Linked DNA regions of Diceros bicornis minor. The protein of the gene in region 4 interacts with the protein of the main gene of each other region in a pairwise test. Links are inferred from orthologs where the notes say so. Each region holds a gene or a part of one and is shown on either strand. Other genes may lie near its edges.

Region 1 (7,537 bases), on a different chromosome or scaffold from region 4:
TCTCCTAGCTTCCCAAGCATGCAGAAGCCTGGGCGCAGGGGAGGGGGGAATAATTATTTCTTTCCTAGCCGTAAAAAATGACCGGTCTAGCATGCCCTTGCCTTTTTTGCCAGGGCCCAAAAAACAAGTCAAACCTGATAGTTAATATTTTAATGCTTAAAAAACACTTGTAGATCTGATCGACTCCCGTCCGGTAAACCCTCGGCCATTAGCACCGAATCACGGCTGCTGAACAGTGGGGGCCTTATTTCAAATTGCTATCTCGAGTTACCGAAAAAGAAAAAACAAAAGTGGTGCGTGTCAATAAGGGGTAGAGGGACCAAACCAGAGAAGGTGCAAAATGACAATCCCAGGAAATCGGGGACAAACGTCTAGAGATTCGTAATCCAGGCTTTTTAGAGGAGGGTTGGAACGGGGGAGGGGGTTTCAGGGCGAGGGCAGGGGGCACAGGCCGATCGGGGAAGGGGATGAGCCTTACTGACAAATGTCAGGGCTGGGAGCGGAACGCAAACTAAGGGAAGAGCCCCCGGAACCTGGCACCCCGCGCTGCCCTGGGGGCCCCAAAGTTGAGTGGCCCGCGATCAGCAGCCCATTCCCTTGAAGGAGAGCCGCTCTTGTCCTCCCATAACTTCTACACACCTTTAGGCCCCGCACACCCTGGTCTCTGGCCCCCCACGGCCCACTGAAGGCCTTCTCGGAAGCTGGCGAGCGCAGACCCCACTATAAACCCCAAGGCACCAAAATTCCCTAGAAATACATCGAGTCCGCCCGGAGGAGGCCATCCTTGCTACACACCAACCAAGAACCCCGGCCACAGGGGCCTCCCCACTCAGCGCGGCCGGGGAGAGCCCGCAGTCTGCGCGCCGGGCAGCCGAGCCCGCCACGGCGCCCAGGGCGCTCGCGGCCTGCGGGGTTGCCAAAGAAAAGCAAGCCCAGAGCCCCCAAGTTTGCAGTAGGTCCAGTCTGGAAAGCGTGACCTTCCAGAGGGAAAGGGGAGGAGGGCTGAGAGCCAGCGATCGCCACTAGAAAGCTAAATAAATAACCGGCCGAAAGAGAAAGCCGAAGCGCTTCTCCAGGGCCCCGGGCTCCGCGCGCTCGCTAGTTCTCAAGTCCAACGCCTGGAGGAAAATCACTCTCTACTCGGCGCGTCGGGCGCAGCCCAGCCACTCAGTCCCCGGCAGCGGCAGCCAAGGGGTTAACCGAGGAAAGCCCAAGACGCCACAGAAGAGGGAAGGAAGAGAGAGAGGGAGAGAGAGAGAAAAGAAAGAGCCACACAGTCATCTTCCCAGGGTGAAGAAACAAACAACTCCACCAAAGGGGGAGGGGGGAATCAGAGCGCAAAAAAAAGTTCTTCTGATTTTTTTCCCCCAACAAAGCCGTGCTTGGAAAGAAAGATCTCCCCAACATCACGAGGCAGCAAACTGAAAGCAAGAACATGGCGAAGTGCAAACAAATCCAGTCCACAAAAGGCAGAAAAGTTTGGAGAGTTTCGGGCTGCCTGGGCCACGAGCGGGGGAGGGGAGGCGGGGAGGGGAGGAGGCGGGGAGGGGAGGGGAGGGGAGGGGGAGGAGGGGGCAGGGCAGGGGCCGCATGCGGGGCTGGGCAGGCGGGCCGCGGGCGGGGGCCGGGCGCGGAGGCACTTACGGTTCGGGCGGTGGGCGAGAGCGATCCGTTGGGGAGGTAGGGGCTCGTCAGGTCGGGGATCATGATGAAGGGGTAGCCGGGATACGGTGGCCCCTTAAAGAGCCCTCCATCTTGCCTCTTGGCCGCTAACATGGCGGGGCGGCGAGGGGACGGCAGCGGCCGCGCGGAGCGGGAGAGAGCGAGAAGAAACTTTTTAGAAAGTGCCCCAAGTGGCCGGGCGCCCCGGCCCGGGCGGCGCACGGCCGGGCCGAGCGGGGCGCGGGGCCGGGGCGCGCGGGGCGGCGGGCCCGGGGGGCAGCTCCGGGCGGCTGCGGGGCGCGCGGGGCGTACTCACCTTCTTCCAAACTTTCCCGGGATTTATCTCGGAAACTTTCGGAGCGAGGCGGAGGCCGTCTTTCCGCCTTCCCGGAGGGGTGGAGGTGGGGAGGGCGAGGGGCAAACGCCACGCAGAGGGGGAAGAAGGGGGAGAAAAAGAAATCAGCGGGGTGGGGGGATTTGGGGGGGAGAGAAAAGCAGGGTTACAAGTTTTTGCAATGGTGGCACCGCACGCACACGCCGCCCGCCCGGCCCCGCGGCGCCCCGCCGCCGCCCCCGGCCCGGATTTCTCCCCTCGAAGCAACATTTGCCAAGCCCAGGAAATAGATTAAAAACCCCACCAGCCCGAGGGGCTTTTCCTACCTCGGAATCGGAGGAGCTGTTTTGATTCGTTTCTGATTCATTGACTAGAGACGATTTGACATCAGCTAAATCCCTCTCTGCCGAGGAGTTTTCGGAGCTCTTCTCCTCCTGCTCGCCCTCGTCTTTGAAGGAAATCAGTTCGTCGTTGGCGCCTAGGTCATCTCCTCCACCGCCGTTCAGCTGCGGCATTTTTTTCACCCACCAGCAGCAATTTTGGAAGAAAAATGAAGGAGGAAGAAAAGCCAAAAAAAAAAAATACCCCCAAAAAGTTTTGCCCCCCCCGAAAAAAATTATTGCAAGAAAAAGACGAGTCCAAGGTGAACTTTTTTTTCTGCTTTGGGGTCTTTTTCTCCTGGGGAGGGGAAAGAGGGAGGAGGGGAGGGGAAGGGGGGGGAGATCTTCTGCACGCGTGAGTTTGGGTTTCTTTTTTCTCTCGTTCCCAAGGATCCGATCAATGTGCAAAAAAATAATAAATAAAAAAGGGGGGTAAAAAAACACACCACCAACAACAAGAAGTCAGATATAAAGAGCAAAGGGGGGGGAAGCCGAAGATACAGGAGGAGCTCGTGCCGCTCGGATTTGAGTGAGTTGAAGTTAGACTGAGAGCTTTTCAGTTCAAAGGCGGCGCTGATTGACAGATAGAAAAAGGGGGATCGAAATCCGGAGGAACGGAGTAGTCTGGGAGCGGAGATTATTGACAGGGCGAGAGGAACACACTCGCTTAATGAGATGCCGGGGGGCGGGGCCGTCCCGGTGACGTGCGCATAATAAACAGCCGGGGTGGGCGGGGCGGGGGCGGCTAACAATGATCCTTTCGGGCGCCGGGAGAGGGAGGAGGGAGAGGAGGAGGAGGAGGACAGGGGCGGGGGGACGAGGGGGAGAGAGACGGAGGGAGGAGAGTGCAGGGGGAGCGGCCTGCGCTGAGTGTGTGCGAGCCCGGGAGTCTGGGCGAGGGGACCGGGACTCGCTCCGGGAGGGGGCGGCTTCAGAAAGACAATGCGGAGTGGGAGAGGAGGGGAAGGGGTGGCGACCGAGGCAGGAATCCGAGCCGGGGAAGGCGGAAGGAAAGCCCACTTGGGGGGCGGGGATGGGGAGAGGCCCAGAAAAAGTGCACTTTGGAAATATTAGAAATAAGTCTTAAGGAAGGGGAAAAGGAGAGTAGGGGCGGGGGATGCTTAGTGGTTAATCCAGCAGTGAAATCAGCCACCCTTGGGCGGGATGGAACAGAAGTGGTCAAGAAGAAAGAGCAACCCTCCACTTTCAGAGAGCTTGGGGAAGTGGAGGGCTGGGCAAAGTTCCTGGTCATCTGCAGTGAAAGAAACTATTAACCCACAAGATCTTCCCTCCCCTTCTTGTTTATTAATAGTGAATCATTTCATTAAATCTTCAATCTCACTAGACTAAATATGCCAAGATGACTTTTATCCAAAAACAATCAAATACTGTCATGTTTGTCAAAGGCATTAAAAATATCCTTAAGGAAAAATACATGATTTCTTTCAGTGTAGAGTGTTGTTTGTTTTTTTTTTTTTTTTTTTACTAACGTTGGTGGTGGTAGGAAATGAGCGAGGATTCAAAGTCCTTTCAGACTTTGGAGGTAAAAAGTTTGGGCGTTAACACCGCCAGGGAAAATAAAACTGAAAGTTCACCGACCCCTGGGATCAGCGGTGCTGGAGTCTTTCTCGAAGGGGGTCTGAGATGAAATCCCCGAAAGACTGACCACATGATGAGGGTGTAGATGGCTCCGGCAGGAAATTGCTAACCGAGCTGATGCTGGGAGACCTCAAGGAGGAGGTGGAAAACCTGGGCTGTGAGGCAGGTATTTTGTTGATTTTTAGGCACTCGCCTGGGGGGCAAGTTGATTTGCTACAAAATGGGGAACAGAATTATGTGAAAGGGTAAAAGGCCTGGCTCCCAAAACACAATGTCCCTGGATGAAGGAGCAAGAACATTCATTTTCTTGCAAATATCCAATGAGAAGTGGACTGGAAACTACCACATGAAAAGTGGATAAAAATAATCAGAAAAAAGAAATCAATAGAAATTAGCAAATTGTCTATTAGGAACAGTGTTGGTCCTGAGTCCATGATGTACTAAATTATCCCACCCATGCCTAAAAAAATCTCACCTGCCTTTCAGCTGGCCCATCAGCACCTATGGTTTCCAAAAGAAAGGAAATTTACCATGTAATATTTAGAGAGTTTGGGGTTTCAGCAAAACTGTTTTATAGGCTAAGGTCTCAGAAAGAAGACTACTAAAAATAATGATACCAAGATTGACAAGGCCAGTGAATTCCCCTGCACTGGAAAAAATTCACAACCACATTTGCACATTAAAGAGAAAGATACAGGCAAAATAAAAATGGGGGGGGGGCACAGAGGAGATTCACTGTAACTCCCAACTTTAATATTAATCGGAAAATCAGAAGTAGAGCGAGAAAGAGTCTGAAAAGTAAAACAAATGTGTACATTTACTCAGACAGGATTGCATAGGATACAAAGCACAAGGCTAATTAGTCTCAGCAGGTAGAACTAACCTTCAGACTTCATAAATAAATAAGGCAGGCACAGTTTCTAAGAGGGAGAGTGGAGACAGAAAGGGGATTATTTCAAGACACCAAGTAAAAACATGAAGAATGAAATGCTTCACTGTTAAATCCATGTACAAATGGATTTAACAGTTTCCCTTTTGTGGATCTTTTCACTCAGTTGCCTTTAGATTTACACGTTTGGTGAATGCCCATAGCTTGTCATACTTGCTAATTGTCACCTGTATACTTAGTGTGCCTGAGACTGTCTGTGTACAGTGTACACTTTCCTAAGGCCCGTTTTAAGGGCTTATTTACTTAAACTGGAACACATTTATAGTAACTCAGTTTTACGGCAATTTCTTTGTCCTGTGCGGTGGTGTTTTTTTTAATCTAACCCTGATCTGAATTAAGCTGGATAATGAGGTCTTCTCTGTCCTTCATAGGACTACCTGGATAATAAAAGCTCATAAACAGATGGAATTGAAACTGTAGAGAGTGTACTTATTGCTTTTAATGTCCTGGTCTGCATTTTTATCATATGTAAATACTAAGGGCTTTCTTCCTAATGATTAGTAACCTCATCCATTTTGGCGTATCCTTATATTTCTCATTCAAAGGGAACTCGAATCTTTCCTTCTTTAAATCTCTGATTTAATTAAGCAATTAAAAGTTATTCCATGATAGCAAACATGCCACATTTAATTTTGCTGCTTTGTGCAGTAAAAAGGCTTGGGGAGACCAGCAAGATCTCAGAGGGTCAATAACCCCTGAGTCTCTGAAATGGCTTCAGGTGATGCCAAGATGTGGGGGACCGGGGGGAGGGTGTGAAACTGAAATTGGCAAAAAACAAGGTACTATAATATTAAACAACAACAAAAAGTCAGGTTGGCCCGCAATGTGAACGTGTAATTTGAAGATTTGGTGTGAAATTTTAAACAACAGTTGGCTTGTGTCCAGGTGTTGAGGCTACTTCTCTTTCTAGATACTGATGACTCCTGGTTTATGACCAAGAGTTCTGCCCAAATAGCAGAGGCTCTACAACAAAGGGAGGAAGCCAGACCAGTCCTGACTTTAGCCTGAGCCAAGGGGTTTTGCATATTGGGAAGTGGGCAGGATGGGGGAGAAGCTGTATCTGCTTCCCTTGGAGCCCATTCCTGGGGCCAGCCCAGGTCTCGAACTCTCCTCCTCATCCTCTGCCCTTCTGCTTCTTCACTTCTGTTTTCTCCTCCCCTTCAGCCGTCCCTCTATTAAATCTCTGTGGACCTGTGTTGATATCAGTGTACAACTTATTTTACCTTAAAAATTAAGTGAGTGGGTTATCTCTCCCAGGGGTACTTCCTTGTTCATCCCTATTGAAGAGTGAGAAGAAGTGTCGGTTTATATAAATCACCTTTCAGGCATCGGTTCCCCATGGGGCACTTATGGCAGAGTGGTGGGTGCCCTCTGAAATATGGGAGGTTGCTTGATGGGGACAGCAGAAATAGGCCGGCGGTAGCCCACGTCACCTGTGGCCCCTTAGTCTTGTCTCACCTGGCAAGTGAGGTAATTGGTCTTGATATTTTCTTAGGTCTCTTTTAACATTCAGAGAGTCCTTGATTCCGTAGATTCAGCCCATACCCCAGTTATGCTAAGAAGTTCACCGGCACACCAGCAAAGGGGACGAGCCATATTGGAGGTTTGGCTTTGGAACTTAGGGAAAACAAGGATAGTCTGCTCAGATTCAACAGAAGTAGGGAATACATGTTGACAACCATATTCGGCTCCCCCGATCGCTTGGCAAGATTCTGCTAAATTACCCTTGACAGTGATGCGTACGTGTGTGTATATGTGTTCCGTATGATTTTTCTTTAAAGAGCTGGGCTCCAAGATGGATGATCTGTTACCCACTGTGTTGGTCTTATCTATGCAGGGAGTGTGCTGACTGAAGGAAGCCAAAAAAAGAATCTGAAAATATAAGGAAGCTATGAAATGGGGAAATGTTTAGAAGCCAAAGTCCTGATTCCACTGTGAAATTTTCTGTTTGCTTTTTGTTCTGCGTGGGTGATGGTTCCTTATTTGGACCTTCAGGAAAGCAACTCCCTTAGCCAACATAGGAACACTAAAAATTGGACCCCTGAGAGTTTTCAATTTTAGCGGGAGGAAGGGGTAGGCAAAAAGGGCCCACTTCACAGGCATCCTTTTATTTTCCCCCATTGACTCTGTCAAAAGATGTGGAAAGGCACACAGCCTCTTCTGGAAACCCTGAGGAACAGGGTTTTTTTTTTCTCAAGTGCCTGGCTGGATCACTTTGCTTCAGCTAATGACAGGTCTGGGTAATAAAGTGACAATAATGCCTGATGATCTAAGGGTTAATGGGGAGATGTATGCATTTGTACTGGATTTCATCACCTGCCTTCATAAGCTGATCACTACCGCGATAGGCATTTGTGACAGGAGCAGCCTTTCGAAAGACATCAATCCTCCATAAATATCCCTTTCTTATTGATAAGATGTCTTTTAACCCTAATAGTAATGGAAGAAGGCCAATAAATGAAACATTTACTGCATAACTTGCCTTATTTTGGGGTGGTGTACGATTCCTTTCTAGCTGTCTCTAGAAGATGTTTTCAGCCTAATTTGCTCCCTAGAAATTTTGCTTGCTACAGTTATACGGCTATGACGTTTTATTGCCTGAAGCCAAGTCTG
Region 2 (7,348 bases), on a different chromosome or scaffold from region 4:
TGTGAAGGGGACTCCTGCATTTTGGGGGGTTGAGGTGGGAGTGAGGGAAGGGTGATTGTAGAAGGGTTGAGTACCCCTGTGAGGCTAAGATTCTGGAAATTCACCTTCTTATTTTTCCTCTTAGGAGATACTAACTTGCAGTGTAGCTTGTTATGCTAAGAAAAGGAAAAAGATTTCTTTACAGTAAGAACAGCAAAGAGCTTGGTGGTAATTATTCTAGAAATTCACATAGGCCCTATTCTAACTGTGCCTATACCGTATTGAAACTATCATCCTGGGCTGGGCTATGGCAATACTTCTTCAGAGAAGCAAACAACTCTTCACCTAACTCTTTCACATGGGAGCCAAAAGGTATACATGTCCCCTAGGTCACTGTGTTTTAGATTTTTTTCTTGAGGATCTTAAAATATATAGACATCTCAACTGAGGTCCTTCTCTATAGAATTTAATATTGGAGACCATGGAGAAGAACAACCAGAATTGCCTTTTCAGTTTGCTGTTTACATAATCATCCAATTACACAGTAATCCCAACAACCTCGTGAAGTTGGCTGGTATTGTTATCCAGTCTGTGACAGATGACACAACGAATGGCTCTGTGTAGCAGAGGGAGGTCCTGTGCTCCTCCCTAGGAGATGACACCTCTTCTTTGGGAGGATCATTTTCCCGTGTCCTGTACCATTCACATGCATCAGAAAGCATTCTTTCTGTGCATGGCCTACTTAACCCTAATGCTATTCATATTTTTCTTCAGGACAGTGTATTTTTTTTTTTTTTTACTTTTGTAAAATATAGATAACATAAAATTTACCATTGTAACCATTTTAAGTGTACAGTTCAGTGGCATTAAGTAACTATCAAGACATCCATCTCCAGAACTTTTTCATCATCCCAAACAGAAACTCTGTCCCTCTTAAACACTGACTCCCCATTCCTCCCTCTCCTCAGACCCTGGTAACCTCTATTCTACTTTCCATTTCTACAAATCTGACTATTTTAGGTACCACATATAAGTGGAATCATACAATATGTGTCCTTTTGTGTCTGGTTTATTTCATTTAGTATACTATGCTCAAGGTTCATCCATGTTGTAGTATATATCAGAATTCCATTCCTTTTTAAGGCTGAATAATACTCCATTGTATGAATATACCATATTTTGTTTATCCATTCATCTATCGATGGACGTTTGGGTTGTTCCTACACTTTGGCTGTTGTGAATGATGCTGCTGTGAACGTTGGTGTACAGATACATCTTTGAGTCTCTGCTTTCAGTTCTTGTAGGTGTATATCTAGAAGTAGAATTCTGGATCCTATGGTAATTCTATGTTTAATTTTATGAGGAACCACCATACTGTTTTTCCATAGTGGCTACACCATTTTACATTCTCACCAGCAATGTGGAAGGGTTCCAATTTCTCTGTTCTCTGCATCCTCACCAACATTTGTTATTTTCCGTTTTGTTTCGTTTGGTTTGGTTTGGATAATAGCCATCCTAATAGGTGTGAAATGGTATCTCATTGCGGCTTTGATTTGCATTTCCCTAATGGTTAGTGATGTTGACCATCTCTTTGTGTGCTTATTGGGCATTTATATATCTTTGGAGAAATGTCTACTCAAGTCCTTTGCCCCCCCCTTTTTTTTTTTGGTGAGGAAGATTGGCCCTGAGCTAACATCTGCCAACCTCCTCGTTTTGCCGAGGAAGACTGGCCCTGGGCTAACATCCATCCCCATCTTCCTCCACTTTATATGGGACGCCGCCACAGCATGGCTTATCAAGCAGTGTGTCGGTGCCCCCCTGGGATCCGAACCGGCAGACCCCGGGCCGCCGCAGCGGAGAGCGTGCACTTAACTGCTTGCGCCACAGGGCCGGCCCCCCTTTGCCCATTTTTTAATGGAGTTATTTGGGTTTTTTGTTGTTGTTGAGTTGTAAGAGTTCTTTATACATCCTGAATATTAATCACTTATCAGGGATTTGCAAATATTTTTTCCCATTCTGTGGGTTGCTTTTTCCCTTTCTTAATAGTGACCTTTGATGTAAAAAAGTTTTTTTTTTTTTTGTGAGGAAGATCGGCCCTGAGCTAACATCTGCCAATCCTCCTCTTTTTTTGCTGAGGAAGACTGACCCTGGGCTAACGTCCATGCCCATCTTCCTCCACTTTATATGGGATGCTGCCACAGCATGGCTTGACAAGCAGTGCATCGGTGCACGCCCGGGATCCAAACCAGCGATCCCTGGGCCGTTCAGCGGAGCATGCGCACTTAACCGCTTGTGCCACCAGGCCGGCCCCTAAAAAAGTGTTTAATCTTGATGAAGTCCAGCTTATCTATATTTCTTTTGTTGCCTGTACTTTTGGTGTTACATCCAATAAATCATTGCTAAATCCAATGTCATGGAGTTTCCTCCTTTGTTTTCTTCTAAGAATTTTATAGTTTTAACTCTTAAGTTTCAGTCGCTGATCCATTCTGAGTTAATTTTGTCTATGGTGTGAGATAAGGGCCCAACTTCATCCTTTTGCATGTGGATACTCATGCTATAGTTTTGAAGATACTGTTTAAAACAAAATTTACTGCTTTCTTGGGCATTCTCTAGACAATTTCCAGCAGTGGTGGCTTATTTTGCACTCTTCAGATGTCTGGCTTTCTTTCTTCAACACCCTCATAGGTAGTGGCAGAGGGTGGAGCTAAGGTGCTAATGGGTTGTAACTGTAGACACGTGAACTCTACGTAGACAACTCCCGACTCCAGAGCTCGTCAGTCCTCACAGTGGACACCTGTGTAGGGCAAGAATCCATGTCTTCTCTACATTGTTTTTTTAATTCTCTTGCAAACATAATGAATACAATTATAATTAGTTGTGATTGGTTTAATTGAGCATGGGCTTTTTAAATGGGGCAGCATGCTGGAACTGACCAGGCCATAGCGGGCAGGCTGAAGCTTCTGTGCTCTCCTCATAGACTTTGCTCACAGCATGCATTGCACTTTGTTGAGATGGTTGCTTATGTGTCTGTCTTCCCACTACAGTGTGAACTGGTTATTTCCTTAGTGCCTAGCACAGTGTCCGGCGCAGACGGTTACTAAACAAAACTGAACCAATAGTACTATCTCTTCCTTTCTTCTGAGCCGTGTTGTTGTGCAAAGGCAAAAGATGAGCAGTAAAATCTTGTTTTAATTACACCACCATCTTAACTGCACTGCCAGCTTTATACAATGAAGGATAATGATGATGTTGCTCTGAGTGACGTTTGTTAGATTTTCATAGACTTTCAAAGTTGAGTATTTTATTTTCATTAGAAAAGGAAAGGAGTCAACCATGGCAAATTTTAACTCCCGTCTATTCCTCAAAGAAAATAGAATCTTTCAGGATAAAAGTCTTAAATTAAGAAGCCAAATACTGACTTTTTAAAAAAAACTTCTGTAGTGAAATAACCCTGTTCGTAGAGGTGACCTTACACTGTAGCATTTCAGTACCATGGTTCTGAATATGTGAATACAAGATGCTGTACGTTTTCACCTAGAACAGATGCTAGATTTTTACATGTTTACATTTTCTCTAAGTGAGGAATGTATGAAGATTTCTGCCTTTTATGACTGCACCATAGACTATGAATCAGGGCCCCAAAACTAATTTATTTTAGAGGTCACCTACAATCAGACTTAAATGAAAAGTGTATTTTAGTTTTACTTTTCAGAAATCCCAACTCCTTATTTGGTCAGCTCCCCTCCATATGACTCCTTTCTTTTCCTTAGGAAATATTACATTTCACATCAGGTTAACAGAGAGAAACAAGAAGCCTGGGCAGGTGACTGGGTGGTAGAATCCTGCTTTCCGATGGCCTTCCCTGCCTGTTTCTAGGGCAGTCCTCGCCCTCTCCTGACCCCTTGCCTAGGTTAAAAGAGGCTGCATTGAGAAAGTCAAGAAATGTGAATCATGAATATTCACATATTCACAAGAGTAAATCTAATGCATCAGCAAAGGAGGAGACTCAGTGTTATCCCACTGAGCTGGTTCCCTTCTGCTGTCTCCCTCCCCGTTACTCCCAGGGCTGACTTATATTTAATTGAAGGATAATTTGAATGACAGAAATTAAGGTGTGATTTGGTGTTACCTCAGCTAGTAACATTACTTGCTTTTCCATGTAGACTGAAGAGCCTGTCCTAGTGGCTGCCTTCGTGGTGTCAGGGGCCGGCGGAACACTGCCTTTTTTCCAGCTTTCCTGGGCTTGACCACACCCCCCCCAATTTAAGGAGGCAGCTCTATTAGAAACATTATGGTCTTTGCATCCTCTCGCCACGGAGCAGAGGATTCCCGCAGGTAGTAGGAAAGAGACCACAGACCTTGAGGGAAGCTCACTCAGGACCTATTCTTCACCCAGTCTCTCCGGCAAAGTAGTAAGTGAGGTGTGAGTTTCTGCCTAAAACTTTGCAGTCCATCTTCCTTTTCCCTTTTTTTTCATTTTGTGGAATTAATCGGTAAATTGATGGGGACCTTCAGGATACAAGCGGTTTTCTCTTTCTCTTTCCACATTTTTCTATATTTCCATTCAATAGTTTCATAACGTTTTTCAAAAATACTTCCTAGCCTAGTTCGAATCATCTGAAATCAAGACTATATTTCACTCTTTCCCCTGAAGTATTCTATATTTCAGAATACTTGTCAGAAACTCTGAATTTTGTTCGCATGTTGGAGCAGTTCCAAAGGAATAAAGCTATAGTTAAACACAGAAATTTCCTTCTTTTTTTCTCTTTCCCTCCTAGCAAACCTATTGTTTTACATCTTTTTTCTTTCTTTTTTTCCCTAGCAGCTTAAGGAATTTCTTTTATAGAGAGGACATTGCTACAGGTTTGAATTTTGCAAGCCAAACTAGCCTTTTTGGTGTTTTTCTCTGTCTTGTGACCCACAGTTCTCCAAGGTTCTACCTGCCCTCCAGACTGCAATTGGGACGGGGGAGTCTCCGAGTCGGGGCGCATTTCTTCCGTCCACCGCGAGCAGCCGTGCTGTGGAAAAGCGGGGCTGTGCGTGGCCATTGCCCCCGTGGTTTTACCCAGCAATTCCACTTTGTCGGTGGCTTCTCATCTACTCTTAAAACGCCTCTGTTACCCTCTTTTAAAGTAGCATTTCATGTGGGAGAATTGTTCAAAAAGATGCTGGGTTACCGAGATCCAGGCATTTGAATGTAGGTTTTCCTTATTACCTTTTGGGTAAGTTATCGTTGTTGTTTTTTTTCCATCTCCTGGCCATTTTTTTTCCTACTTCATACCATTACTGGGCAACTGAGAAGAGAGATATTTGTTAAACAACAGGAAATACAGATTCTAAAATGATAAGCCTGGCAGCCTCATTTGATTTGTGAAATGATTGACACTTCGACTGTTTCACTGGCTATGGTTCTGAATTACATCGCCTCCTGTTTACCTAAAGAGAAAACCCTTTGCCTCTGCAGGCATGGGCTCCTCACAGACGGTGACTGGGTGGCCACCACTGCTGTTGAGAGTCTTCCTTACCTGTTGTTCCTGAATGGAGGGAAGGGAGAGCTAATGAGTTAATGTCTGCAAAGTGCTTTGAAGATGAAAAGACCTTTTCATGTGTTCAGCATTGTAGTTATTAATATTAATATTTGAAGAAGCATGCTGCTTTTAATTGTAAATCAACAACTTCCATCCTTGCCAACTCAGTAGTGAAAAAACAAACAGTGAAGGCAGCCACACAAGCCTCTTCCGTCCTGGTTCTGCTGCTGAGGATGTGAGAAGCCCAGAGTCTGATTACAGAGAGGGCGTCTCTGACTTACAGGCTCCTTACTCCAAGGTGCTAGTTGGTAGAGGCGCCCGGAGGTCCAAGAGTAGAGCCTGGCGGAGGGCAAAGGCTGTAGCTCTTCCACATCTGCCTGTCTGTGGCCTTGGGGAACTGGTTGAGAGTGTGGCCCTGGGCCAGTTGCCTGCCTCAGATTATAATGGAGTTCAAAGGCGAGCAGGGGCAGAACTGGAACCAGCACTGTAGCTGGAGTCGGGAAAAGGCATGTGCACTTGGGTTCTATTAGAGATGGGCTTTGTAACTGGGAACAACTTATTTAACATGACTGTGTCTTATTTTCTTCATCTCTAAAATGTGAGTAATGATTTTTGCCTCGCCTATTTCACGAAGATGAGAGAATAGAAGTAAATAGCGTAGAGCTTTGAAGAATAGAAGTGTCAATAGGATTGAGGGACAGTCTGAAGTAATATTGTAAAATTGGGTGTGTGGGTCAGGTGCCCAGGGGAAGGTGAGGCAGAAGGCAAACAAATGAAATAAATGCTATGGAAACAAATAGTTGGCACTGACATGTCTCTCTTTGCGCACAGAGCCTTGATGTACTGCCAAATGTCTTACTGAGAATTCGATTTCTGCTGTACCTCCTGATTTTATTTATTGGTGAACAAATCTGTTTTCCACAGCAACTCTCCTATTCTAATTACCCATTCAAAATTCCCATTTCTGCACCAAACAGCAGAAGGAATGGTTACATTGCAGAAGCTGGGGCATCCTTTCTTCCTCTCTCCTCTTCTCCCCTCCCTCCTTCCTCTCCTCTTCTCTCCCTCTTTCTTTCTTCTTTATGGAAATCAAAAAGTATTTAGTATTTGAGCTAAATAAATGTGGTATGCAGCAATTTAGTGGTATTTGAGGCAAATCTTGTGAATTTCTTCAATCCTGGGGAAACAGATATGAAGGCAACCCATTTTTTGCCTCTTCATCTCCGCTGTCCCTGCTCTTCTGGATATGTGGCTTTAGGGAACTCAATCGTTTAATCTAGATGATTCTCTGGATATAACACCTGGTTTTCTCCACTTCACCTGAGGAAGAGTAATAATCCCTGGCATTTACTGATCACTTGGTGTGTTCCAGGGCCCTTGCGAGGTGCGTTGCACGGACTACTCCATTTAGCCTACAGTGAAGTCTTGGAGGCGAGCACTCTTGCTCTCCCCATGTGACAGATGAGGACTCTGAGGCTTGGTGATGTGAACAACTTAGTTAGTGGTGGGACCTGATTAGAACCAAAGGAATATGAGTCCAGAGCTTGTGACTGGAATTGTGTCTCCTAGGGGCCCCAGTAGCTTTGAGACACTTCACAAATTTAGGCTGGATTTTTCTGCTCAGACTGATGATTTGCTTTATCTGGGAGAATACTATGGATTAGGCCTATTTTCTAAAAGGGAATCTGTGGATTAATTATTCATTGTTAGAAAGATACTGACTCTGAAGAAAGGCCAGAAGGTCCAGTTGAGTGGATGAGTAAATCTCTCCCTCAATCCCTCTTGTGACAAATACTGATTGAATTTCTACTCTGTGCCCACCCTTGCTTTGGGGGGTGTGA
Region 3 (7,125 bases), on a different chromosome or scaffold from region 4:
GAAAAGGTAAAAAGCTGCTTTCGAATAAGAATAAGAAACGAACAGGCAACGTTGACAGTTGCTTCTCTCATATCAAGTAACAAAGCTATACCAGGAGGCAAGGCTGCTTGTGTAAGCCAGCAGAATCCTGATGGAAGTGTCCTGTCCACCCACCCACCCACTTACTGAGCACATGCCGTATCAGGGAACTGCCAGGTTCCATGAACACAGGGTGGAAAAGGCAAAGTCCTCGACTGCCCAAGGCTCAGTTTAGTGGGGAAGACATCTAAGCATAGTAACTTTCTTAAAATAAGTCTGTGCTAACCACAGCCTTAGATGCAGTCAAAACACATTTCAAGAAACTGATAAAAAAGCCACAGGAAGGAATAATTCCAAGTATGGAGAACACACCTGTTTCCTTGCATCTTCCAGACTGGCATCAGGACAAATGACAACATCTCGGCTACACTGTACTGGATCTTTTCCAGCCAGACCTGCAATGGTGACCTTAATCTAAGAAAAAGACACCATCATGATATTTAAGAATACAGAAACATAAATTTAGAGTAACACTTCACAGCTGCCCTGTGTTTTAAAATAACTTGGCAGGAAATACTGCAACAAAACCATGCTGACTTTAGCTAATAAGTTGGCTAAAGATATTTAATAACTAGGTCTGTCCCAGTCTGCCCGGGAGAGGACTGGTTTACAGATGCTGCCTCTGCGCCCTCTCTGGTTAGTGTCCTTTCTCCCACAAGTGTTCTGGTTTGGGCAATAAAATATATGATCATCCTATTAATAATCCATCTTGCAAAGTTACTGCTGCCATTTAAACCTTATGGTATTTTCTTAAAGCAGAATTGCAAGCTAAGAAAATATACTACTTTTTCCTCACAAAAAAGTTGACAGTACCAAGAGCCAGTACTGGACAAACTGGCATTTCCCTACACTGCTGATGGGCCACACATTGGTACCCTGGAGAGTCATCTGACAAAATCTAGCAATGCCAATTATGGACCATCCTTTGGCCTAGCAATTCCATTTTTAAGCAGAGAGCCTGGAAAAACTTCCACAAGTTTGCACATGGCAACTCGGACAAGAATATTACAGTATTGTAATATATTACATTGTAACGTAATACAGTATTGTAATACACAGTGTAGTGAAACAATGTAACAGAAGAATGGACTGTGGGCATGTTCATACAGTGCAACACTAAACAGCAATTTTAAATAAACAAACTGGATCTATATGTATCTTCACTTATGAGAACCAGAGGAACGCTGGGTTAACAGACTCCGGGGCCAGACTGCCAGGGCCTGAGTACTGCCTCTTCTACTTACTAACTCTACAGTGTGGACACTTTATTTGGTGTCTCTGTGCCTCAGTTTCTTCAACCATAAAATGAAATGGCAATAACTCATAGGGTTGCTGTAAAATTTAAACAAGTTTATATAAGTGCTTAGAATGACACTAGTACGTGCTATTGTTCACTATGGTTACATACACATATACAGATATATAATATAGACATGCAAAATGAGAACTACACGCTAATACTACTTTAAAGACATGCATGGAATGGATACACTTCAGTGTGAGGATGGCAGTTATCTCTGGGGCCAGAAGGAGAAAAGGATTGGGGAAATTTACAAAGAGGGCTTTGCAACACTTTATTTCTTTAAAGCATTTGTTCTTCAAGAAATAGGTCTGAAAGAAACATGAGAAAATGTTAACAAGTATTAAATGCAGACAGTGAATAAATAAGTAATTATTATTATATAGTCTCCATACTTTTGTGTACATTTGAAATATTTCATAAAGTACACTGACTACGATTTTATTCAAAATGATTTTTAAAAATCCAAGAATGTTTTAAAAGAGAGGAGGGCTAGAAAACGTTGAGGGACTTACTCCAGCTCGTCTCATGACATCTACAGGGATGACGGTCTCCATCTCCTCTGCCCCTTTAGCCAGGATGACCAGAGCTCTTTTTGAAGCCATTTCTATGCTGTACTTTTTAAAGACTTAATAAAAAATAATTAAAAAAAAGATTCTCAAAAAACATTCACTGCAACCCTGGAAAAGCCAAAAATTTTAAGTTTAGGAATATTTTTAAGCAGAGTAACTAAGTGCCTCCTAGAGAAAAGGTTCTGATAGGCAAACACAACTGAATATGAAAAATGCATTTTAGGTTAATATTGGCTTACGTAGCACAATTTCAAATGCTGTCTTTTTGAGATGAAAACACAGTAAGGTTGTTAATGCGTGTTAGTGTTGTTTAGATTTTCTTTTACCTTGTTTTTTTAAAATTCAATTTTTAATAATATATTGTAAATGAGGTTTTCTAAAACACAAGTTGCATTTCACACAATGCGGGGAGACAGCCTTTCTTTGAAGTACTATTTCATAGGGATGCGACTGAACTAAATTTCACGGGCAAAAAACTAAATACACAGTTAGCAATTAGCCTGTAAGATTTTTGGAGGGGATTTTTTTTAGTTCCAATAACTATACTAAAAATTTGGAGGGAGTTAACAGTGTTAAATATTTGAACACTGTTTTTTTTAATAATGGAGAGAGATGGGAATCCCCCTAAGTAAAGGCAACCCAACCAAATTCCCTCTCTTTGCACTTAGCTCTCATCGTAAACGAAAGCTGCTAAACCAGGGTCTGAAGAATTTTTAGACTATTTTCTAGAATTGGTGACCATGCAAAATGGATTTTAATAAATCCACTTCAACAATCACAGGTTTAACCAGCAGTTCCAAACTGCTGGGACGCCATGTACACAATTCTGGAAGCTTCAGAGCTGCTGCTACGCTGGCAAGAGAAAGCCGCACTCGTACAGCCCCGCGCGGGGTCGGGGACCCGCCTGAGGGTGGCCCCCTCCCAAGCCCGGCGCCCCCTCGACCCACAGGGCCACCGCCTGCGCACGCGCACGCTCCCCTAGCCCCGACCCGAACCTAGCCTCGCCTCCCACAGACGCGGGCCCTCGTCTTCTGCGCCGGGACTGGGAAACCAGAAGCGGCCTACACGCAGACTCACGCAAGCACGCACGCGTACCGCACTGCGCAGACGCAAGCCGCCTGGTTTCTCATCCCCCCACACTGCGCAGACGCGCGCTGCCCCGCCTCCCTCATGCCCCCAAAGTGCGCAGACTCGCGCCGCTCGGCAAGGCTCTTCAGTGCCGCATTGCGCAGACGCGCGCTGTCCAAGCGCTCGTTGCCCCCCGCCCCCCGCACTGCGCGGGCGCATGCCGCTCGCATCCGTGACGTCACATCCGGACGAACCCACCTCGGAGAACCGCGGGGGACGGCCTGCCATTGGGCCTCCCGATTGTGCGCTTAGGATGGTTCCAGTTGGAACACTCAGCCCCACGAGAATCCCGTGGACTCACGCATCCTCACGAAATCTCCCCCCCGCGAGTGGCACGGCCCGGCCTGCCCCCGGCGCCCGCGGGATTTACCCCGTTTTTTTTTTTTGCCGCGGCCCAGTTGCGCAATGCGCGTCTCGAGAGTGGGGTGGCTTGCTGTCGACGTGCGTTTTCACGTATTGGAGTTGTTCTTTCACGCTTCCTCTGTGCACTTCTGTCTCCCTTTGCATTGTTCCTCTTTCCTCGTCACCTTCCCGCGTCGCCTCCGCTCTGTTAGGACTCTTTCTCCAAGGTCCTCCGGCCTTATCTCGCCCACGCCCGTCCCTCGTTTTTGTGAGCCTCATCAGTTACGCGCGGTAATTGCACGTGCATTCGTTTCTCAGAGTTGTTTTTTTAAGGATCTCAGTGCTGCTTCTGCGTCCAGTTTTAGCGCAGTGCTGAGCACATAGGTCTAACAAGTACTTGATTAATTAAGTTCACCGAAATTATAATCTCAAATTATATTTTTAAAAGTATTTGAATATTGATACTTATCACTAGTTTCAGAAACCAAAGTGATAAGTGTTACATTGAACAGACGGGCTCCTAGCCCTGTCCCCATCCAGTTCCATCCCCACCCCCTACAGATAACATTATTAGTTTCTTGGGCATCTTTCCAGTATTTCTTTATGTAAGTACAAGCACACACAAATATGTACTATTATGTTCCTTCTTTCTCATAAAAATATAGCAGTCTGTATACATTGTTCTGCACTTGCCCTCCTGCCGCCGCCACCACCTTGTTAAGTGAATATCTTGGAGATCTTTTCATATCAAAAAGAACTTCCTCCCCCCCCCCATAGATACTATGGTATTGTAGGTATATTCCATACTTTACTTACCGGTACCCTACCGATAACGGGTTATTTCCAGTCACTTTCTGTACAGACAGCACTGTGCTGAATGACATTCATCTGTCCTTGTGCAGATATACCTGGAGGGAAAATTCCCAGAAGTGGGAAATACATTTGAGCAACTCCATACAAGTTGAATCACTGAGCACTCTCACCGGTAACACATGAGACTAGTATTTTACAGACGTCAAGTGTTTTTAAAGTTTCAATTTAGATATTAAAAACACGTTTATTTTCAAGAAATAATGTTATTTTTGTTGGTTTACAAAGTACTTTCGTATATCTGATGGGATCCTTACAATGGTGGTGAGAGCGGTTTTTATTTAATTTTAATAATTGTAAATTGATTCATTTATGCAATAATCTGCACTTGTGCAAAAAATTTAAATGTCTTTAATCATTTCCCATTTTAAGAAGACAACGTTTTGGGAGTCTGGAATGACTTCACCCTTGGCTGTTTGCAAAGGAAGCAGGCAAAAGCCACCCCTTTTTAGCTTTGAAAGAGCATGGGAAATAGGAGGGCCAGAGAGGGAGAGGAGGCAAGTGGTCAGATATGTATTTCAAGAACCAAAGAGGGATTTAGGAAAAGCAAGAGAAGACAGGCTGTTTTGCTCTAGTCCTCACAATAAACTCTTGTAAGGAAACAACCATGCTGGTGGCCTGCTGCAGCATGAGACAGCCACAGCAAAATAAAAATGGCAAGACTGATGGTTCAGCAGCAAAAGAGAGAGAGAACGAACCTGAGTTAACACTCCTGAGACATCTGCATTACCATCGAGATCTGAAATGGACCTGTCAGCATTAATTTTTATCAAATGAATCCATTGCACACGGTTTTAAAAACTCAAATGTTACTTATGGTAGATTGGATTATTTTTCAGAAATATTCACTCTTTCCTCTTCCGCCTGCGGGAGTGGAGGGTACTCCTGCCCTTTGACTTTGGGTTTGTCATCCTTGTTTTGGCTAATGAGATGTTAACAGACATGACCTGATCAAAGCCTTGAAAAACACTGACATGATGATTAGGCTTGCTCTCTTGTACTTTTGCATTGCCATCTTGAAAAGGAAGAGCTTTCCCCCAGGGAAGTTGCTGCTGCCCTTTCAGCCTGGGTTTCAGAACTGACACGTGGAACAGAGCTGCCCCAGTCAACCTGTACCCGTACCTGAAGCAGATCATCACAGCCTAAAGGCAGACTGAAGTACTCAGATTTTGTTACACAGCAGTAGCTCACTGATACAGCATTAAAAGGCTCATAATGAAAGACAGCAGCCTTCTAACTCAGTACTTTCTACCCCTCAGCCCTGCTCTCCAGAGGCAAATATTTTCAACTCTTTAAAGTATTTCTTACGGTAATTATCTCAGTATTTTTCAACAATATGCTAATTTTTAAACAATATGCTAATGCTGTACATAAAAATATTTTTCATCTGTTGGTTTTAGACTTTATATATTGACTTCCTGGCAGGTATTAACATAATTTTTATTTCACAGATGCAGAGGTTGAGGTCCAGAAGAGTGAAATGACTGTATAAGGTCCTGCAGAGTCTTGGTCAAATTCAGATATTCTGATGCCAAATTTCACACTCTACCCACCATAGATTCTATCAGTATTGCTTATTAATAAGTCAGCAACACTCATGACAGTCTCTTAACTTTAGAGTTTATGTCTGTTTCTCATCACACATTTATAGAACAAAGCCAAAAATTTAAACCATTTACCAGAAAACACTGACACTTCCTAGTTCAGTCCCTTATTTCCAGGTAGAACCACCCCATTCTGATCCACTACATTTTTAATTCAATATTTGACAAGTCTTTAGGCACTGTGGGAAGTACAAACTAAAAGACTATTTTCAAGGAGCTTAAAATCATCAGTTTCCGGCAGCAGTTGGAACATTTAATTAAGAGATGCTGTTCTGCTTTGTAGAGCTCACAGTCCAGCAATGGAGAAATGCTGTTGATAATGTCAGTGAAGGAACACAGGACATGCCACCTCCAGATATGCCACCTTAGCATACTGATTATTTTGAGTTAGAGGAATTTGGAAAACAGCGGGTTCAAGAAAGGCACTCTGATTCCCATTTTTTTTCTTCCTGAAAGCAGAAGATGAAACTTGCATGTGAGAACTGCCCTCCCTATGCCAGGAGGAAAGAAACATTCTTATCACCAGAGAGGGAGTTGAGTCTGGCAGAATTTGTACAAAGAGACCTTGTTAAAGTAACTCGCATCATCCTTTAGTTTCTCCATTTTATTTTAGATATTTTTCCACAATTGCCACTTTTTGTTCAACCCAGTATATAAGCATTTGGGTTTTGCCACTTTGAGGCTTTATTTCCTTCTAAAGGCTCCCAGGTCATGGTAAAACATATTAAATATATTTATATGCTTTTCTCCTGTTAATCTTTTTTATGTCAATTTAATTCTCAGGCCCAGCCAGAGACCCTAGGAAGGTAGAGGTAAAGTTTTTGCCTCCCCTACATTAGCAACAGCAGCCCCATGGCCCTTCTGATCCTGGTCCCAAAAAGCAACTCTGCCTAGAATTAGCCTGATCACAATAAATAGCAAAGAAACTGCTGCCAGATTATTAATTATTTTTTATGGGTCAGATATCTTGCATTTCATCTTATTAAGTAACACTCGTTTTCTATGAATATATCCTTTTATTTCATTGATAGCAATTATTTTAGCATTTTCTTTTGTTTAGTTATTTATTGTCTGTCTCTCCTCAATCCTGTGAACTCCATGATAGGACCTTCCTGTCTTGGTCACTGGAGAATCCCTAACATCTATTGCAGTCCCTGGCACATAGCAGGTGCTCAATAAATACTTCCTACCCTAATTTCACCCTCTAGGATGTTCCTTCCTCTCGTATAGA
Region 4 (7,994 bases):
GGACTCCCTGCTGGCCAGTGCAGGGGAAGGACAAGGTCTCTCTGAAGGGTGTATCCCTCTATACCTCACCAGAATCCAAGGAGGCTTTGGGGGGGTCTGTAGGGTAGGAAGAGGTAGCCTGGAGCCGGGCTCTTCTCTTCTGTCTTTCCCCCTCCTCACTCTTGTCTTGCATCATTGCATATTTGGAGATGACCTCATCCAGCCGGCTCATAGCCAAGGTCCGATTTTCCCGTAGGCGCCGGGCTAGGGTGGGATCTGACAGTGCAGGGTCAAAGCCTATGTGGGAAGATATAAAGTGAAAGTACTCAGCCCAAACCCTAGAAGGGACTAGAGAGATGCCTCCTCCACCACACACCTGACATATAATGGGCACCTCACTAATCCCTACCTGGCCTATAGTCATCCGTGAGGTGACAGCCAAAGTTGTAAATGAGATCGAGGTGGCGTCGCTCCTGCAACCTGACGCCCACATCTCGGAAGGCATCCTGAGCCATGAGCTGGAGCTGCTGCCGGGGGAGGCCGAGGCTGTGCCGAGCAGCTGCCTTCTCCACAGCCCGCAGCACATCTCCATAGTCAGGGAAGGTATCGGGCCCTGGCTTGTTGATGAGCCGCTCGATGCGCCTGTTAACCTCTGGGTAGCGGGTGCCCCGATAGGGGATGCGCTGCTCTATGACCCGGCCCGTCAGTGAAGAGCAGTCTTTCAGCTCACACAGCCTCCCAAAGAGGCGGATCAGCTTCCGCTTCAACCTCGCCTCTTGCAGGTACGTGGAGTCGGGGTCGTCCAATTCTGACAGATCCAATTCCTTTTCCTGCAGCCGCCGGATCTCTGCCACGTAGAGCGCTAGCAGCTGCTCCAAGCGCTGGATCTGCCGCCGGGAACCATGGGTCCTTGGGGCCTCAGCAGCAGTAGTCTCGGCATTCGCGGGGTCCGAGGTGGGGTCTGTGGGAGGGCTATTCCCAGAGGGCTCGCTAGAGGTGTTGGCAGCAGGGGCCAGGTTCAGCTTCTTCTTGGCTGAGTGGGCCTTGAGAACAGTGCAGAGCTCATTAATGTAGACATAGAGCTTAGCCGGCCGGCTCTTGGCCCGAGACAGGACCCGAGAGAGGATGTTGCAGAACTCCGCTGAGGCCAAAAACAGAGAGTGGGCCCGCTGCTGCCGGTTATAGAGAAATGGGACCACCTCAGGGTGGTCTGCCGTCTGCGTCTTACACAGTTCAAGGAACTAGAGGGTTCAGGGGAAGAAGGGAGTGGGGAAGAGACAAGGGAAGGGATCAAGAGAAAGGTTAGTGGGGAAGAAAGGACAGGAGAGCCAGTCAGCCATCCCCCTCCCTGGGGTACAAGAAGAATCTTCTCCCCTAAAGCTCACCTCTTCAAACAGCTTCTCATTCTCCAACTTGTAGCATTTCTTGCCGCCCGAACTACTGCTTCCTCTGGCCCTATGGGGCTGGGAGGAGCCAGGGGCTTCTGCCCGGGGTGAGGCCGGACTGGGGGGTGGGTGGGAGGGCCCTGGCTGAGCAGCTGCTTCATCTTCGTCATCATCATCCAGCACGATGATGCTGTTAGCGGTGGCCATGGGGGATCAAATCCCCAGGAGGGAGGAAGTGTTGGGGATTTCGGAATTCCTGCTGGAAGGGGGTGGGGCCTCAGAAAGAGCCCCTCCAGCACAGCCCCATCCCTTCATCTCACACATTTTCCAATCTTCTTGGGTTTCAGTAACACCCGGCCCTGCCCAACAGTCTCCTCACTGCCTATCTTGAGCAACCATTGGTACCATATGCTTTCTGGCCGTTTACTACGGGAGCCCCACCCCCAGCTCCACCCCTCAAGTCGATATCCGGTCTTTCTGTTGCGTTTCCCCATTATTTGTCATAGTTGGCAAGTTGATTCCTCCCAACCCTGGACCACCCTCCCCACTGCACTCCAGATTTCCTTGACATCCCCTTGCACAGACACCACACCCCCGTCGGCACCACCTCACGTGTTTTCCCCCTTTCGCTCTCAGACACGTCAAATCCACACCCTCACCCCGTCCTGAAGGATCACCCCAACTCCTAGACTCTCTCAGGAGAGGGAGGTTCCCTCCCAAAAATCCACTCCCCTTTCTCCTACCTGAATTATCTCCATATTCTACCCTCTGATAGGTCTCCTCAAACCGGGGCGTTAGGTTGGAGATATTTCACCCCAAGTCCCCTCCCTCTCACCCCACCCTAATTTTCCCCATTCTCTCTCTGTGACCTGTAACCGACTGTGATCACCGCACTGGGCTCTCCCGATTCCCCTCGGATCCCAACCCTGGGTCCAGCCCCTCCCCCCTGGATGAGCTTCCCGCCAAGTCCCCCTCCCCCAGTTCAGCCCCCGGCGCCCCACTCCCCTTCAGAGATAGGAAGGAAGGTACCACAGCTTGCCCCTCAGACTCAGCGCCCGGGACTCCCCAATACCTCTCCCTCGACATTCCCGCCCCTGCCTTCGCTCCCCGCACGGTCCGGCCCCCACCTCAGAAACGGTCTCTCGAGGCGACCCTCTCCGCTGATCTCAGAACCTCGCATGGTTCCCTCCGCCTTCCTTCCCCCTCCCACCGCAGGCCCTACTCTGGACCGGAAGTCGCGGAGCTTCCGCCTACAGGTACCCGACCGCGGCCATATTGTCGTACGGAACCCAGCCGCTCCCGCCCCCCGGGCCGGAGGTGACGGTAGGCCCGTCCCCCGAGCGCCTCCCGTGCCGCCCACCTAGTCTGCGGCTCCCTTCCGGACCTGTAGGGGGCGGAGTCGTCCTCGCAGGGAGTCCCGGTGTACGTGGGGGCCGCCATTTTGCCGTACGGCATTGGCTGAGCTAGGACTTGGGCGCGCAGCCAGCGGAGCTATTTTCACCCAGTGCTTCTGCGACTCCGCCAATCAGAAACTTCCTGCTTCCGGCCCGGCTGCCAGCGAGTTGCGTGCGGGGAGCGCTGAGCCCCGTTTCCAAGCAGGCGGGGAACGGAACTGGACAGCTAAGGAATTGGGCCCTCCAAGGCTACACAGGGGTTCGCGGAAGGGCAGGAGTCGCTTAAAAGGGAAATAACCTTTTCCTTCCGCCAGGCTATAACCTTTCCTTTCCTTCCGGCTCTGCCTTCCTACGGTCAGGTACCCACTTCCACGGCTTAACCGACTGCGCCTGCCCCTTCCCTTCTACGGGCTGCGCGCTCCCTTGCCGCTGTCCAGCAGCTACTTCTCCGTTCAGGTGCCTACATCTCCCGATCGTGAAATCATAACACACGCATGCAAACGCGCTATACAATGTGTTGTTATTATTATTGCTATTGTTGTTGACGTCTTTTCAAGCTCCTCCACAGAACTAACGACCAACAAGCCGGTGGGACGTAGGTGGGTCTCTGTCCTTTTCTCAGGGGTTTCCCCGAGGCATAGGCGGTGATAACCAAGAGGCCGTGCTTTGTCCAGGAACTCCAGGACCTGAGTCCAAAAGATGTGGGACGGGGGCTTTGAGGAGAATCTGTGCAAATTGCCGCTGTGAGACGAAATCAGGCTCGTAGAATACCTCGGGTCTCGTCTCCTCTTTCTCTGGGAGAGCTGAGGGAAGAACGAAGAGAGAAGAAACCGACTTTGATGCCTGCCTCGCCCGCACCCCCACCCCGCCCAGCTTTAGAGAGGCTGGGAGGACTCGTGAAGGCAAGGCTGGGTCCAAAGGTGAGCGTATGGGGAAACCGGAAAGGTTAACACGGTCCTAATCGCTGAGATTCCCACCTCCTGCATCCTTGCGCATTCCTAAGTGGTGAGCATCTTGCCACTTTCTAGGATCACAGAGGCTCTTACATCCCTAAGCTCTCAGAGTCCCAGAACCTCAAACCCTCCCTTCCATTAAAGAATCCCACACCACTTCTCTCCAGTCGTCTAAGCCTACAGTCTTTAAGTTGGGGAACATGAAAACTCTCCAAAGGGTATTTGGGCTTAGAAGATAAAAGGGATTTAATTTCCAGATCCTCAATTTTCCCAGAATTGGTCTTCCTGAATAAACGCCAGCAGCAGAAGTTCTTCTTCTTCCTTTTCCCTTTTACAATAGACTGTCTCCCCCCACCCCACCCCCACCCCACCCCCACCCCCCAAAAAATATCCTTCTCAACCATGAAATCTCCTGGGGATAATCTTACCTTGTTTTTTTTTTTTTTTTTTTTTTGAGGAAGATCAGCCCTGAGCTAATATCTGATGCCAATCTTCCTCTTTTTTGCTGAGGAAGCTTGGCCCTGGGCTAACATCCGTGCCCATCTTCCTCTACTTTATATGGGACACCGCCACAGCACGGCCTGACAAGCAGTGCGTCACTGCTCCCCGGGATCCGAACCTGCGAACCCCGGTCCGCCACAGCAGAGCGCGCACGCTTAACCGCCTGCGGCATTGGGCCGGCCCTTACCTTGTCTTAAATAAAGAGATATGTAGTCTCTTTTATCAAGGCACCGTAAACACCACCTCGACTATCTCATTAAAAATGTACTTTTACTTTTAACAATTACAGAAATGTGTACAATCTTTATGCTATTTGATCAGTTCTGTTCTCATAATAATTGTAATGATAACCTAGAAGAAATTTTTTTGAAAACTAGAGTCTCATGGTTACAAGAAAGAAAAACGTTTTTCGTTTCAATTAATATATATATATACAGGAAAGTGTGATAGATGGGTCAGTGAAGACTTTCAAGATAAAAGCATAAAATTGTCTGTGGGGAGGTGGAATGGTAATAGAAGTTCAAGGAGAAAAGAGAATGATGAAAGAAGAAAAGAAATCATTCCCAATTGTTAAGAGCTTATTTGTGTATTTTTAAATGGGTGGTGGTGGGTATCAAGTCATTCTGATATTTCAGTTTCCCTGGACATTCAAAAGGGTGGTTTAATTGTTTTATTTTAAATTATGAATATTTTCAATATGCCAGGAATTACATCCTTGAAACAATTTTAATTTATGATGAAAAATTTTTGATACTTACTTAAAAATACTTGAAAAGTACAAACTTTTTCAAAATTATTTCCTGGAGTATAGGTGCAGAATTTTTTTTGGTGAGGGAGACTAGCCCTAAGCTAACATCTGTTGCCAATCTTCCTCTTTTTGCTGGAGGAAGATTGTCGCTGAGCTAACATCTTGGCAATCCTCCTCTATTTTGTATGTGGGATGCCACCATGGCATGGCTTGATGAGTGGTGAGTAGGTCCACGCCCAGGATCCGAATCCACGAACCCTGGGCTGCCGAATCAGAGTGCCCAAACTTAACCACTATGCCACTAGGCCGGCCCCTAGGTGCAGAAATCTTAAGACAGCTGCTCTAAGCTATCCAAGTGTCCCCTCCACAGCTCCTAATAGTCCCATTTCTTCCCGTCTCCCCTCTCACCTCTGTGGCAGGGAAAGAGGATGTTTATAGGAAAGGTGGTCACAATTCCAGCTCCTCCTCCTTCTGAGGTGTTCCCAGCAGCCAGTCCCCAAACTTTGCCCATTGTAGCGGCCACAGCAGCTTATAAACAGCCTCTAGCATCAGTAGTGTCAGGCTGAGGGCCAGGAAGATAAAGAAGACCTTGTCCAAGGCCTGACAGAGTGGACTCCTGGGAGGAGAGGGCCTCTGGGCAAATGCCAGGAACACATCCTCCTCGTCCACATTGCCCTCCTCCTCTGCCATCCTAACCCACAGTGTAACTGCTGGCTGGACCAGGGAGGCTGAGATAGAAGCCCTTGCTCAGCAATGCCAGGATTAAGAGGCATGGTGGCAGCAAGTCCTGCACCGGCTCAGCTTGACCTTAATTCCGCCACCCAAGAGAGAAAAAGGAGAGTAGAGCCTCTGAGCCTTTGGAACAATCATATAATCATCCAGTGCAATGTGAATGGTCTGGACTAAATGATTCCCAGTCTGTCCAGCTTTACCATCCTATAAGTCTGTGTTTTGGAAACTGAAGGCCCAACATAGAGGCATGCAAGCTGGAACTGCTCAGGTCATTGTGGGTCTCTAGGCTCAAGGCTCAAGGTCTTGGGCCCCTACAGATAGAGGATGAGCAAGCAGACCTAGTACGCTACTGTGAGTCCCTGTCAGTCAAGGATCTAAAGCCCCTTCCAGCTTTATAGTGGAGGGGAGGTGGAAGAGGTTGGGGTTTTGGGAGGGGCTCTCCTAACCAAGGTGGGTGGGGATGAGCAGCAGTGCCTGGAGTCCACGCAGGCGCAGGCATAGTACTCCCCCAGGTCTGCAGGCCCGGGAAGTTGTGGAGCTGAAACCCAGAGTGCTCTCTTTCTAACTTCCGGTCCCTGTGGGGTAAGAGGATGATCATAATTGGACTGTAAGAGTCCAGCGGGAGGTTTTTAAAGAGAGAAAGACTGATTGGTCAGCAGGGTGAGGGTGTGTGATTGGAACTTAACTGTTGGGGCAATAATAAGGAAGAGTGAAGTTTTGCGTGTGTGTGTGTCTGTGTGTGTGTGTGTGGAGGAGGCGGGGGGAGGGAATTCTTTTTTTGTTTGTTTGTTTTGGTAAGGAAGATCAGCTCTGAGCTAACATCCATGCCAATCCTCCTCTTTTTGCCGAGGAAGACTGGCCCTGGGCTAACATCTGTGCCCATCTTCCTCTACTTTATATGAGATGCCACCACAGCATGATCTGACAAGCGGTGCATCGGTGGGGGCCCAGGACCCGAACCGGGGCCACCAGCAGCAGAGTATGAGCACTTAACCGCTATGCCACGGGGCCGGACCAGGGGGAAGGGAGTTCTGATCTGAGAGTTGCTGGTGGGAAATGTCCAGGAGGTTGTCTGTGGGGCAAGGCTTGAAGGCCGTTTCTTTCTTTTTCTTTCTTTCTTTTTTTTTTTTTTGGTGAGGAAGATTGGCCCTGAGCTACCATCTGTTGCCAATCCTCTTCTTTTTGCTTGAAGAAGATTGTCCCTGAACTAACATCTGTGCCAATCTTCCTCTATTTTGTATGTGGGGCGCCACCACAGCATGGTTTGACGAGTGGTGTGTAGGTCCTTCCCTAGGATCTGAACCCAAGAACCCCGGGCCACTGAAGTGGAGCACCCGAACTTAACCACTGTGCCACTGGGCCAGCCCCTGAAGGCCTTTTATTGACCCTGTTCACCAGGCACTGGCCTGAAGGTCCATGTGAAATTTAATAAAGGGAAATCTCATTTAAAATGGAGTCAGGAGGCCAGATGGGGGAGCTCCCAGTAGTATCATTGGAGGTCAATTACAGAAAAGATAATCAATTACAGACTCTAACAAAAGGAAGTCAATAGGAAAGAATCTTCAATTATAGGCATAAATGTACATTGCATCCCAAACAGAAATCCACTACCCCCAGCAACTTAGCCAGTGAGAAGCCATCACCACCCTGAACTCTTGCTTTTCTCCAATGGACTTTCCTTCAAAACAACCCCTCTCAATTTTCTCCTTTTTCTCTATAAAATATCTTTCCTCTGCCTTGTTTGTTGGATTTGCCTATGGTCCACCACAGCATGCACATCCTGGATAGCAATTCTTTGACTATTCTTGAATAAGCTCGTTTTGCTGGTAAAATAACCGGCTGTTTCATTTTTAAGGTTACATCTGTGAAGGAAATCAAAGCCCATATGGAGAACTGGGCCCCCAGGATAAGTAGTGGTGGTGGTAGGGTAGACAGTGAAAGAAGTGGTGTGTATGGTAATGGACCTCATACCTAAACTTCATTTTGACCTTAATAGGAAGACCTTGTTTACCCCAAAAAGGTACAAACGATGTCACAATTTTGCTTAGAGTCAACTCATCTTATCATTTGCTGCTGCCACAGGTTGTCGCATAACGAGTCAAAATATTTGGATCAGGGTCCTAACTAATCATTTATTAGTTGTGTTAAATTAATTAAACAAGGAGGCCATTAGACTGAGGAGGCTCTAATGCCACAGCGACCAACGTAAGCAAACCAAACCTAAACCTATAAATGCCTCAAGGTTATGAAATCAAAACACTAAAGAGAACCAATCACAAACAGCCAACCAGGGTTTCAGCTA

What was found. The genes of interacting proteins can lie anywhere in the genome.
Region 1: the proteins of DAXX (region 4) and TCF7L2 interact in binary tests that used the Homo sapiens proteins (3 or more experiments, as listed by UniProt). The link is inferred for Diceros bicornis minor from reciprocal best matches to the Homo sapiens genes DAXX and TCF7L2.
Region 2: the proteins of DAXX (region 4) and ETS1 interact in binary tests that used the Homo sapiens proteins (3 or more experiments, as listed by UniProt). The link is inferred for Diceros bicornis minor from reciprocal best matches to the Homo sapiens genes DAXX and ETS1.
Region 3: the proteins of DAXX (region 4) and PARK7 interact in binary tests that used the Homo sapiens proteins (3 or more experiments, as listed by UniProt). The link is inferred for Diceros bicornis minor from reciprocal best matches to the Homo sapiens genes DAXX and PARK7.

What each region holds. Positions count from the first base shown.
Region 1 is NC_080745.1:76,493,979-76,501,515, reverse strand, and holds the start of TCF7L2 (transcription factor 7-like 2), read right to left. Parts: upstream 3,019-7,537; 5' UTR 2,512-3,018; coding exon 2,323-2,511; intron 2,046-2,322; coding exon 1,979-2,045; intron 1,770-1,978; coding exon 1,645-1,769; intron 1-1,644. UniProt on the Homo sapiens protein: Participates in the Wnt signaling pathway and modulates MYC expression by binding to its promoter in a sequence-specific manner. Acts as a repressor in the absence of CTNNB1, and as activator in its presence.
Region 2 is NC_080746.1:7,434,190-7,441,537, forward strand, and holds the start of ETS1 (protein C-ets-1), read left to right. Parts: upstream 1-4,330; 5' UTR 4,331-4,391; intron 4,392-7,348. UniProt on the Homo sapiens protein: Transcription factor. Directly controls the expression of cytokine and chemokine genes in a wide variety of different cellular contexts. May control the differentiation, survival and proliferation of lymphoid cells.
Region 3 is NC_080752.1:27,789,693-27,796,817, reverse strand, and holds the start of PARK7 (Parkinson disease protein 7), read right to left. Parts: upstream 3,019-7,125; 5' UTR 2,946-3,018; intron 2,007-2,945; 5' UTR 1,984-2,006; coding exon 1,894-1,983; intron 493-1,893; coding exon 391-492; intron 1-390. UniProt on the Homo sapiens protein: Multifunctional protein with controversial molecular function which plays an important role in cell protection against oxidative stress and cell death acting as oxidative stress sensor and redox-sensitive chaperone and protease.
Region 4 is NC_080753.1:31,138,974-31,146,967, reverse strand, and holds the start of DAXX (death domain-associated protein 6), read right to left. Parts: upstream 3,001-7,994; 5' UTR 2,791-3,000; intron 2,587-2,790; exon of another isoform or gene 2,492-2,586; intron 1,624-2,491; exon of another isoform or gene 1,621-1,623; 5' UTR 1,572-1,620; coding exon 1,365-1,571; intron 1,221-1,364; coding exon 389-1,220; intron 277-388; coding exon 65-276; intron 1-64. Other genes in the region: SMIM40 (small integral membrane protein 40), read right to left, coding at 5,408-5,650. UniProt on the Homo sapiens protein: Transcription corepressor known to repress transcriptional potential of several sumoylated transcription factors. Down-regulates basal and activated transcription.